Oryzias latipes: one gene and its partner. The protein of the gene in region 1 interacts with the protein of each later gene in a biochemical or structural test. Links are inferred from orthologs where the notes say so. Each region holds a gene or a part of one and is shown in the gene's direction. Other genes may lie near its edges.

The links. The genes of interacting proteins can lie anywhere in the genome.
Region 2: of the proteins of ubiquitin-conjugating enzyme E2 D2 (region 1) and uba6, one has a biochemical effect on the other in vitro, tested with the Homo sapiens proteins (7 studies listed by BioGRID, with this or other methods). The link is inferred for Oryzias latipes from reciprocal best matches to the Homo sapiens genes UBE2D2 and UBA6.

What each region holds. Positions count from the first base shown.
Region 1 is NC_019880.2:25,335,364-25,340,423, forward strand, and holds the start of ubiquitin-conjugating enzyme E2 D2, read left to right. Parts: upstream 1-1,803; 5' UTR 1,804-2,193; coding exon 2,194-2,217; intron 2,218-2,947; coding exon 2,948-3,011; intron 3,012-3,155; coding exon 3,156-3,187; intron 3,188-3,315; coding exon 3,316-3,393; intron 3,394-3,609; coding exon 3,610-3,715; intron 3,716-3,824; coding exon 3,825-3,918; intron 3,919-4,005; coding exon 4,006-4,054; 3' UTR 4,055-4,055; intron 4,056-4,940; coding exon of another isoform or gene 4,941-4,986; 3' UTR 4,987-5,060.
Region 2 is NC_019859.2:12,649,982-12,654,493, forward strand, and holds the end of uba6 (ubiquitin-like modifier-activating enzyme 6), read left to right. Parts: coding exon 1-42; intron 43-132; coding exon 133-184; intron 185-299; coding exon 300-363; intron 364-445; coding exon 446-515; intron 516-592; coding exon 593-664; intron 665-744; coding exon 745-868; intron 869-1,000; coding exon 1,001-1,194; intron 1,195-1,298; coding exon 1,299-1,426; intron 1,427-2,186; coding exon 2,187-2,274; intron 2,275-2,377; coding exon 2,378-2,472; intron 2,473-2,559; coding exon 2,560-2,701; 3' UTR 2,702-3,959; downstream 3,960-4,512. Other genes in the region: polq (DNA polymerase theta), read right to left, coding at 4,338-4,451. UniProt on the Homo sapiens protein: Activates ubiquitin by first adenylating its C-terminal glycine residue with ATP, and thereafter linking this residue to the side chain of a cysteine residue in E1, yielding a ubiquitin-E1 thioester and free AMP.

The sequences.
Region 1 (5,060 bases):
TATCATCTGGTGTGCCTCCTGGCTTGTTAACTAGTTGAACAGAGCTGCAGGTGGAAACCAACAGAACCTTAAACATCATTTCAGAAACATCCTGTGTGGTTTTACAGACCTTCTCAGCTGTGTTTGGCACCAGAAACAACCCAGAAGTTAAAAGGTAGGTGAAATTAAAGTCTTTTCTTTCTGTTGTGGGCCTTTATTTTTGTTTTACTTGAGTCTCCAGCTGGGCTTCTGCCTAAATGTCTGGAGAGAAGCTTGATGAAGTTTAGTTTGACGTTCAGTCCAACAACAAACAGTTGAGGACAGAAATACTGGCTACGGTTTCCTGGAACTGCCAGTTCCTGTTTGTCTCTGCGTCACCACCGGCTGCGAGAAACACAAACATTCAAATTTCAAGCAAATTCATTTGGGACATGCTGGAGATGTTTCCAGATGGGTGTCTGGTCTCAAAGACTGTTTGATAGGAGCTTTTATGCTCTCCATGCTGGGTTCTATAAAGACGGTTGGAGATCATTGCCATTTATTTGCTTTTTTATACAAACAACATATTTTAAAGCAACGTCATTTTACATAGAGTGTTTGGTAATTAATTTGACGTGCCACACAGCATACCTACTATTCATGTTTTTCCACAAGTTTATTTTTTTAACCTATTAAAACATAACACACAGTGGCTGCAGGTGAATTTTTCTAGCAGAAATTGAAAGATATACGACCAAGATATTAGAGAAAGAGTAAAGATAAAATTATCTAGGTCTGCATCTGAACACATCAACATTTTTTGTATTTTTCAGCACAGATCTGAAGGAATTGAATGACTGATTTCCCACATATGCTCCTCCTCTACTCAGCTTTCCAGGTTTATTGAATCACATTTCAATTTCTGAAACATCCATGGTGAAAAAAAGTTGAACATGACAATCAGGATGGAAAAAATCTAGAAGACGAAAGAGGTAAAGCCATAAAAAACAACCATAGAAAAGATCTGAATTTGTAGTGTCACAGAAGAAAATTATAGCCAAATAGGTGACTCTTTTGTAATTGGATGCTCATATTTAGAAGAGAATGATGTGTAAACTGATCAGAAATGGACAGTAAAGAATGACATTTTCTACTCTGCATGTTTCAAAGTTCAAATGTTTCTACCCAACTAATCTGGAAATATGTTGCTAAAGCAAAAGAGGTGACAGTTTTCACGCTCAAGAATATTTTCAGAGTAAACTCTGGAATGTCATTCCTGACATGGAGTTTAGCTGAAAAAGTAAGAATTCATCTTCCAAGTGTATTTAGGACTTCTAGGAAAATTTACAAGTGGAACTAATATAAAAAAAGCAAGACCTGAAGAAGTAATGAGAACTTATGCAGGTGAGCATTTGTCTGGGACAAACGGATGAAAAGTCACAAAATGAAACAACACACTGAAGCACACAATCCTCATTACAATAAGGAAGGACGTAACCATTTTGACTCCGCCCCTTTATTTTAAAATTTGATGTTCTGATTATAGTGTCATCCAGTTAAAATAATGGAATTAATTTATTAATAATCAGTTTTATTTAACAGCTGCTTTTAGAAACTACATAGTTAACAATAAATCACTAAAAATATAAATTTTAAACTCTATATTTCTGTACACAAAGGTGAGAAAAGTCTTGTGTAAAAAACTGCAGGGATGAACAGGAAGTTATAAAATTGTTGACAATAATTTCTCATTCTGCTTTCTCATTCACGCTCATGGCGAACTGACCACGCCCTCACAGCAGGATGACGGCGCATTCCCACTGACTGACTCCGCCCTCACAGGATTCTGGCTCCGCCCTCACGGCATAAAGCTTCATCTGTATGTGGACAGCGGCTAGTTAGCTAACAGCATCGACCGAAACCTGAAGAGGGGCAATTATATCAGGCCGGGGTTATCCACCTGGCGTTCGCAATTAGTCAATTCCCGAGGGGACACGGATATTTCAGAACCGAACCAAAAGAAAGGAGTTCCTGAGGAACGTAGCCAGTTTTCGTGAAGTCTTGGCCGCATACGTAGTTTTAACCTGCTATCATATCAGCTAGCTTAAGCAGACAGGCCGTGGAGCTGAGCCAGCGTGAATTATCTAATCGAAGCGGTCATCCTGGAACATCACAGCCCGCCTTTGTGCTCACTTTCTGTATCAACAATACGAAAACCCCAAACACGGAGGGAGGATGGCCCTTAAAAGGATCCACAAGGTAAGAGAACGGCGGAACTGCGTGCTAACGGTGTTAGCTTTCCATGCTAGCCTCCCTAACTATTCTCCGTCAAGGCTAACGAGGAAGTGTCGCTTCGAGGTTCAGGTGTGGAGCTCTGCTCGGCTTGATGGCGGTTATAGTTTTCAGTCCAGATACTTGTGTGTCAGAAATGTGTTACAACCGGCTGACGCGCAGCTCGCCAGCCAGCCAGCTATCATTAAATCATTAGCAGTTTCGATTTTCGACCTAACCTCTCTGTTGGGGCTGACGTCTGTCAGGGCCGACCGGTCTCGGTCGTTGTTTTTGCGTTCGGTTCTCCGTGATTCACACCTGACCAAGCCGGCCAGGGCCCACGTCACGATTAGCCTCGTCGCGCGTGTGCGCGCCCGGCTGAGTTAACTCCGGCCCGGATGGGAACCGGGCAGCCCCGGAAACCGGCAGGCCGCCCGCAACTTGCCGGTGTCTGGAAGCCTCTATGAGGAAAGGCCGGGGTGGGGCCCGGCTCATCCGCTCCAAAATAGACGGTCACCTAAAAATAAACATTATATGGACGGGCTGTATGTTTGCTGTGGATATAAAAACTGGGCTGTGCGGGCCCGTCCGGGGGAGGGGGTATGGGGGTAACCTTAACCAGGGAGGACGTTGTTCCTCACATACTCGGTGTTTGGAGATGTTGACGTTCGTCAGACTCTAGTATCTTCATGACTGACTGAAGCTCCTCTCCTGACAGGAACTGAATGACCTGGCTCGTGACCCCCCAGCTCAGTGCTCTGCTGGCCCGGTGGGAGATGACAGTAAGTGATCCGAACACACTGATGTAAATCTGAAAACCACATATGTTAGTGGATGCCGTGAACAGGAAACAGCGTTCCTGGCAGGCTGTGACAGTCACAGTGACCTGTAAGCTTCTTTATAATGCTTCATTTTTGTCCTTGCAGTGTTTCACTGGCAGGCTACCATCATGGGACCTGTGAGTACATTTTGACCTTCCCGTCATGTTATGGTGGTGGGGGGGGGGGTCTCACTTTCTTCATATAACGGCAAATGTTTATGCTTGGATCTGTCAGTCCTTAACTCGGTTTAAACTTCTCCTTGCAGAGTGACAGTCCATATCAGGGAGGTGTTTTCTTCCTGACAATTCATTTTCCAACAGACTACCCCTTCAAACCCCCAAAGGTGAGCTGCTATGACGGGTGTCTTCTGTGCGTTTCCATAGTAATGAGTTAAGACAGGATGTGGTGCTGCCTTTTGATTTAGACAAAGCGTTTGATTTCGGAACAAAGTGAAACTGTAATTCTTTTTTTTTCCTGTTTACATCATCTGCCGGTCCAGCCTGTTCTGTCGCAGGATCTGCGTTGCATAACTCAGATTTTTGTTGCGTCTCTCCCTCAGGTGGCATTCACAACAAGAATTTACCACCCAAATATTAACAGTAATGGCAGTATCTGTCTGGATATTCTCAGATCACAGTGGTCTCCTGCACTTACTATTTCTAAAGGTAGGAAGCTGTAGTTTGACGTTTAATAATTAACTAATGTCTTTTAATGTTGTGGAAGAAGTTTGCCTTCCGATGTCAAACTGAGTTTCCGTAAACTTTTCTCTTGTAGTTCTTCTCTCCATTTGCTCACTCCTATGTGACCCAAACCCCGATGACCCATTAGTGCCAGAGATTGCACGGATCTACAAAACAGATGGTCAGAAGTGAGTAAAAGCCGTCCTTTTGCATGTGACAAGACCCTGATCCCACCTTTTTTGGTTGATCCATGTGCGTGGATTTCACTTTGTTAGGTACAATAAACTAGCTCAGGAGTGGACGGCAAAGTATGCCATGCTGTAGGGTAAGCCTAGTGCTGCATCTTGACTGGTATCTCTTTCTCACCTTGGCAAAGATCTAACTGTTGCACTAATCTGTGTGCACACAACCAGTGTACTCGGTCAGATTCAGTCTCCCTTTTGTACCCCAGCTTCAGATTTGATCTGATTTTCTTCAGACGTTCTGAATGTGACGAGTTTGACGGGAAATGAACTGTATGCATGACAGTGAAAAAGTGGTTCAATTTGACGTGTCCTGCTAAGTAGCTTTTGGGGTCAGGCACAAATGTGTCTGGTGTGGTTAAAGTCCCACTTTGATCATCTTTTGATCTATTTTCAAAGCATTCTCACTGGTCTTTTAAATATGACTATTGCTAATGCAGAGCAACCCCCCCCCCCCCCATTACTGAGAGCTCCCCGTTTACGTGTTCTCCCCCTAGCTTAAAGTCCCTCACAGCCCCAAGCTAACATTAGCAGTGCAACAAAAATGTTGAGCAATATTGAAGCTATCTAGTGGTACAGTTTTTAGCCAGATGCCAGCTCAGACGAGGAAACAGGTTTTTTTAATCCTGTCTTTATTCACAAGGTTTGAATAGCTTAATTTATGTAATGTCCTCCATCAGAAAACCTCCGATAGAACGTATTAAAAACACTATTTTCAGTGGAGTGGGTCTTAAAAGTTCAGCACATCCAGGTTGAAGGTCTGCTAGTAAACATGTCTACTAATCAAGGTATGAGTTTCCGCTTTTTGTATCTTGTGGCGCTGCCTGAATGCGAACCGCATTGCTTAAGGTTGTAGCTGCTGTTGTGGCTCCTCCCACTACGCCTTCTCACCCTACAAAGTTATGTAAAGAAGTTGGATTGAAAATGCAGCCCCCCCCCCTCTAAAATCTGTTTTTATCCCTCTACAGATACACCAAAATGGCAAAAGAATGGACACAAAAGTACGCAATGTGACGGCGTTCATCGGAAGCTGCTGAAACTGTTCGTTTAAGATTAAAGTTTGGGTTTTTCTTTTTCACTTTTTGTTT
Region 2 (4,512 bases), on another chromosome or scaffold:
ATCATCGCCCGTTTAAAATTTGAAAAGTATTTTAAGAGAAAGGTGAGCAACCTTAAAATTTAAATCTTTAAATTTAAAGAAAAATGAAAGCCACAACTGGATGTTAAGCCTCACAGTTTCTTGTTTCTTTAGGCTCTACAGCTGTTGCACTCCTTTCCTCTGGATACAAGGTTAAAAGATGGAAGTAAGTATTTTTTTTCTTTGTTGATCACTTCCAAATTCCTAATAGGATTAGGCCTTTAAACATCAGATTATTGCTTTTTGTGCGATAATGTGTCTGCTCTCTTCTGCCTCTCTAGGTTTGTTTTGGCAGTCCCCAAAAAGACCCCCAACTCCAACCGAGTTTGACCTAAAGGACCCTTTGTGAGTGTTTTCTGAAGTTGGAAGTTTGTGCGGTTTTTGCCCTTCCTTTTTGGTTTACACCTCCCTGTTCTGTTCCCGTCAGGCACTTCACTTTCATTGTCAGCGCCGCCCGGCTTTTTGCTGAGATTTATAACATCCCTTTCTCAGAAAAGGTAGGCCTATGACACCCGTGTCTCTGCTGTCAATCAAAGGTAGGATCACTTGTACTCACTGGGCTTTCTTGTGAAAGGATCTCTCCGAGGATGCCGTGTCAAAGATCCTCTCCGATGTCAAGATCCCCGAGTACAGACCCTTAGAGAAAGTAAGATTCTTACTTGATCTGGTCTTTGGTAACTCTGTCAGCTTTATAAATGTTGACGGTTGGGAATCTGCTGTTGACAGAGTATAGTGACCGATGAGACTGCAAAGAAGCCCGACCAGATGAAGATGCCTTTAAGCAGCGAAGAGGAGAGGGAAGCCATCGCACAGCTGGAAGAGGCCATTTCTACTGACGGCGTCACACCAGGTATATAAAAAGAGCCGAAACAGACCAGTCAAATTAAGATCTAAAGCTGATGTCGAAACCCTGACAATGCCTTAAACACACAGACTTGTCTTGCAGCTTTTAAAAACCCTTTTTTGTTCTCGTCTCCTGCAGAGTCGTTACGAATGAACCCCCTCCAGTTTGAAAAAGACAACGACAGAAACGGCCATATTGATTTTGTCACATCGGCGTCCTCCCTCAGAGCCAGGATGTACTCCATAGAGCCGGCTGACAGGCTGAAGACTAAACGCATCGCTGGAAAGATCATTCCCGCCATCGCCACAGCAACAGCTGCTGTGTCTGGACTGGTGAGATCAGGAACTGGGTTATCTTTAATGTTTTTCTCCAAAAAACTCAAAAGATTTCAACTTAGAAATAGAAGTTACATTTTGTGCTGTTTTGTTTTACAAAGGTTGCACTGGAATTAGTCAAGGTTGTTGGAGGTTATGGGTTTGAATCCTTCAAGAACTGTTTCTTCAACTTGGCCATTCCAGTCGTGGTGCTCAGTGAGACTGCTCCTGTTAAACGGACGGTCATCAGGTAGGAGTATTTAAAGGTATTTCCTACAAAACGTAACTAAAATACACCTAGCACAAATTCTCTGCACTCAAAGTTAGGGATGGGTTTAAGAAACATTGTATTTAATCAGTTTTCATTTAGAAAATTCAATTTCCATTCATCAAATCCATAAATTCCTCTTTCTTTAAGCACTTTGACCTTTTTGATACAGGATTTCCTGATTTTTTTTCTTTTTTTTTTACAGAAAGCTCCACTTTAGTTCATTTTTAATCACTAATTTTAGTAAAAGCTACTTTTAATTAAGCACACAAAACGTTTTTTTAAAGGAGAAGTGTATCTAGAAACAAATCAAATTGATCACCAGTACCTACTGGAAATGTGCTGTCTAGCAAAGTATTTTAATGTTAATCTTGTGATATCCCACATTTTATTTTAATTTATTTTATTTTTTAAACTTGTCCTGTCCAACAGCTGGGCGAGCAGATCAGAGCTAAGGCCTCTTGTGTTGGACAGATTTGACTGTTACAATAGGGGTTTATGGATTTTCAGACAGACTGAGTGTATATTTGTATAAACCCCGTTTTTGTATTTGAGGCTAAGCTTTATTTATAATAAATGTAAAAGGAAAGGAGAGGGAGGGAGTGGGATGTTAGAGATGGGGGGGGGGTTATAATACAGAGCCATTACATAAGAGGGCCATAAGTAAATTGCATGACTTACTTCTCACATACACACATCCTGCGTTTTTTACATGCAGTGACAAGTGTGTGACATTTTTCAGGAACAACCTCTCCTTCACCATTTGGGATTGTTGGACCATATTTGGCCATGAGGACTTCACTCTGTCTGACTTCATGAACGCAGTCAGGGTGAGACGTTCATTCACTGTGGAGCTTTAGTGGTTTGGCTACTGTTGTGTTTTGCCAGACTTGTTTATTAGTCAAATAACTCAACTTTCTTACATACCTGCAGGAAAAGTATACGATTGAACCTACCATGGTGGTCCATGGTGTGAAGATGCTGTATGTGCCTGTGATGCCCGGACATTCAAAGAGGCTCAAACTGACGTGAGTGCTTTAGTCTGAGTTTGTGTCCTTCTTTTATTGATCATTTTGATGCTTTATCTAAATACATGTTTATTTGGACTTTCACAGGATGCAGAAGCTTATCAAGCCATCAGTTGACCGCCGCTACGTTGACCTTACCGTCTCTTTTGCTCCGGAAGCAGACGGAGACGAGGATCTTCCAGGTCCTCCTGTCAGGTACTACTTCAGCCCCGATGGGAAGGCGCCCTGACCGCTTGCATGATGTCATCTCCAAGCCTCCTGTGTCCTTATTCCCCCCTTAATTTTTACATAAACTGATATGCCCCAAGAATGCAAGTCCAGGGCCAAGGGTTTTCCCACAGGAAGTTGTGGGACCGGGTCAGAGCTCTGAGCCCCAGCACAACCCCTGCGAGAAAGGTTTAGGTTCTTTTTGCCTCACATCTAGCCAGTGAAACACAAAAGGCTGCTCAAGTAGCACTTACTGTTGTACCTTTTGTACATATGTTCTCCCCGTTCTGTTTTTTACACTCTGGTGAAACGCTTGTGCCGATGCCTTACTTCTTTTTTTTTTTTTTTTTTTTTTCTGTTTGCGGCTCTAAGCCTAAATATAACTGTTTACAGAAAGCTCACATCCTCCCACTCACAGCCCATTTTTCACTTTAATTTTAAATTCTGCTCGAGCCCAAACGACTCTGTGAGCGGGGCTGTTGACACAATAAACACCGATAGTTGGCAGTCACCACATATTTTTGTTTTTTTTCCCCTGAATTTTTCCAGTTAAGGAACAAACCCAGCTGTTGTGTATTTGAACGGTTCAGCATTAAAGCAGTGGCAAAACCACCAAAGATGTTGGTTATTATTGTGTCTTCTAATGATTGTTCTTTAAGCTCTGACTGCCTCACAAAAGACGAGTCTACGTCAATGGCGATGGATAACACCTGAACATTTTAAGATTTCTATAGAAAAGCAGCAGTTTTATCACTTTGCACCTAAAAATATGCATCTGATGGATGAAGTTTTTGATAAGTAGGACCATCAGTAGCTGCTAGCCTTACCCAGTTTTTTTTTTTTACTTGAGTAACAATTGCATTTGACATATTTTGATGTTGTGCATTATTAATTTGTTTCGCACAAGAAAAAACCTTATTTTGACAGCAAGCAACATTTGTACCAACATCTGGGAACATTTATTTCACCAACATTTTCTATTTTAAATCCCTGTTCTTCGTGGTTTATTTGACATATTTGTTTATAAGTTCATGTCTGTGACATTTATTTATTTGTTCTTTTTGTTTTTTCAAATGGAGCCTGCGTTGATGCCCTCTGTCATGGTGTACTGGTTTGTTGTTAATGAATAGTGTCAATTCAGGCAAATCAATTGTCCTTTAAATTCCACTCCAATGTTGTAAAAGGGTCTTTGAGCTAATCTGTATTCTACTGTCTTGACAAAATGTTCATGGAGTTTTGAATGAAATCAATAAACTCTGTACTTCTCTTGATTTTAAAGATCCGTGGTGGAAAAAAAGTTCTTTGCCTTTTAAAAAACGTTCATAAGTTAAAGAAACGTGTCAGATCCACAGATGTTTTTTTTGTGATGGTAGGCTCAATGGTCTGTCCAATGAAATTTGATTTCAACATGCCCTCAAGATTAAAGTCTTAAAACATCACTTTTTCACAAATATTTAATGTTCATAACTGTGGCACAAAATCCACGAAATGTAGCTCCACTCAAGTAAAAGCATTCGTACATTCATTCAACAGGTTATGTACATGTAAATTAAATGCATTTCTTTTCCATTTCATTGCTGACAGTATTTAAAATATGTGCAAAAGACAGCATCTCATGTTACACAGTAAAAACTAAATTGCACACTATGACAGTCATTTCATATATCCAGATCCTGCAGGTCCCCCCAACTGCAGCCCATCTTCACTTTGACCTTTAACTTCACATACAGCTTCACTGCAGACTCCATCTCCCTCTTGACGATCTGTGCAACCTGTTGGGGACAAAGGTTTGGACAGTTCTCTCTGTTAAGGGTGTCTGAAACACATTCAGTA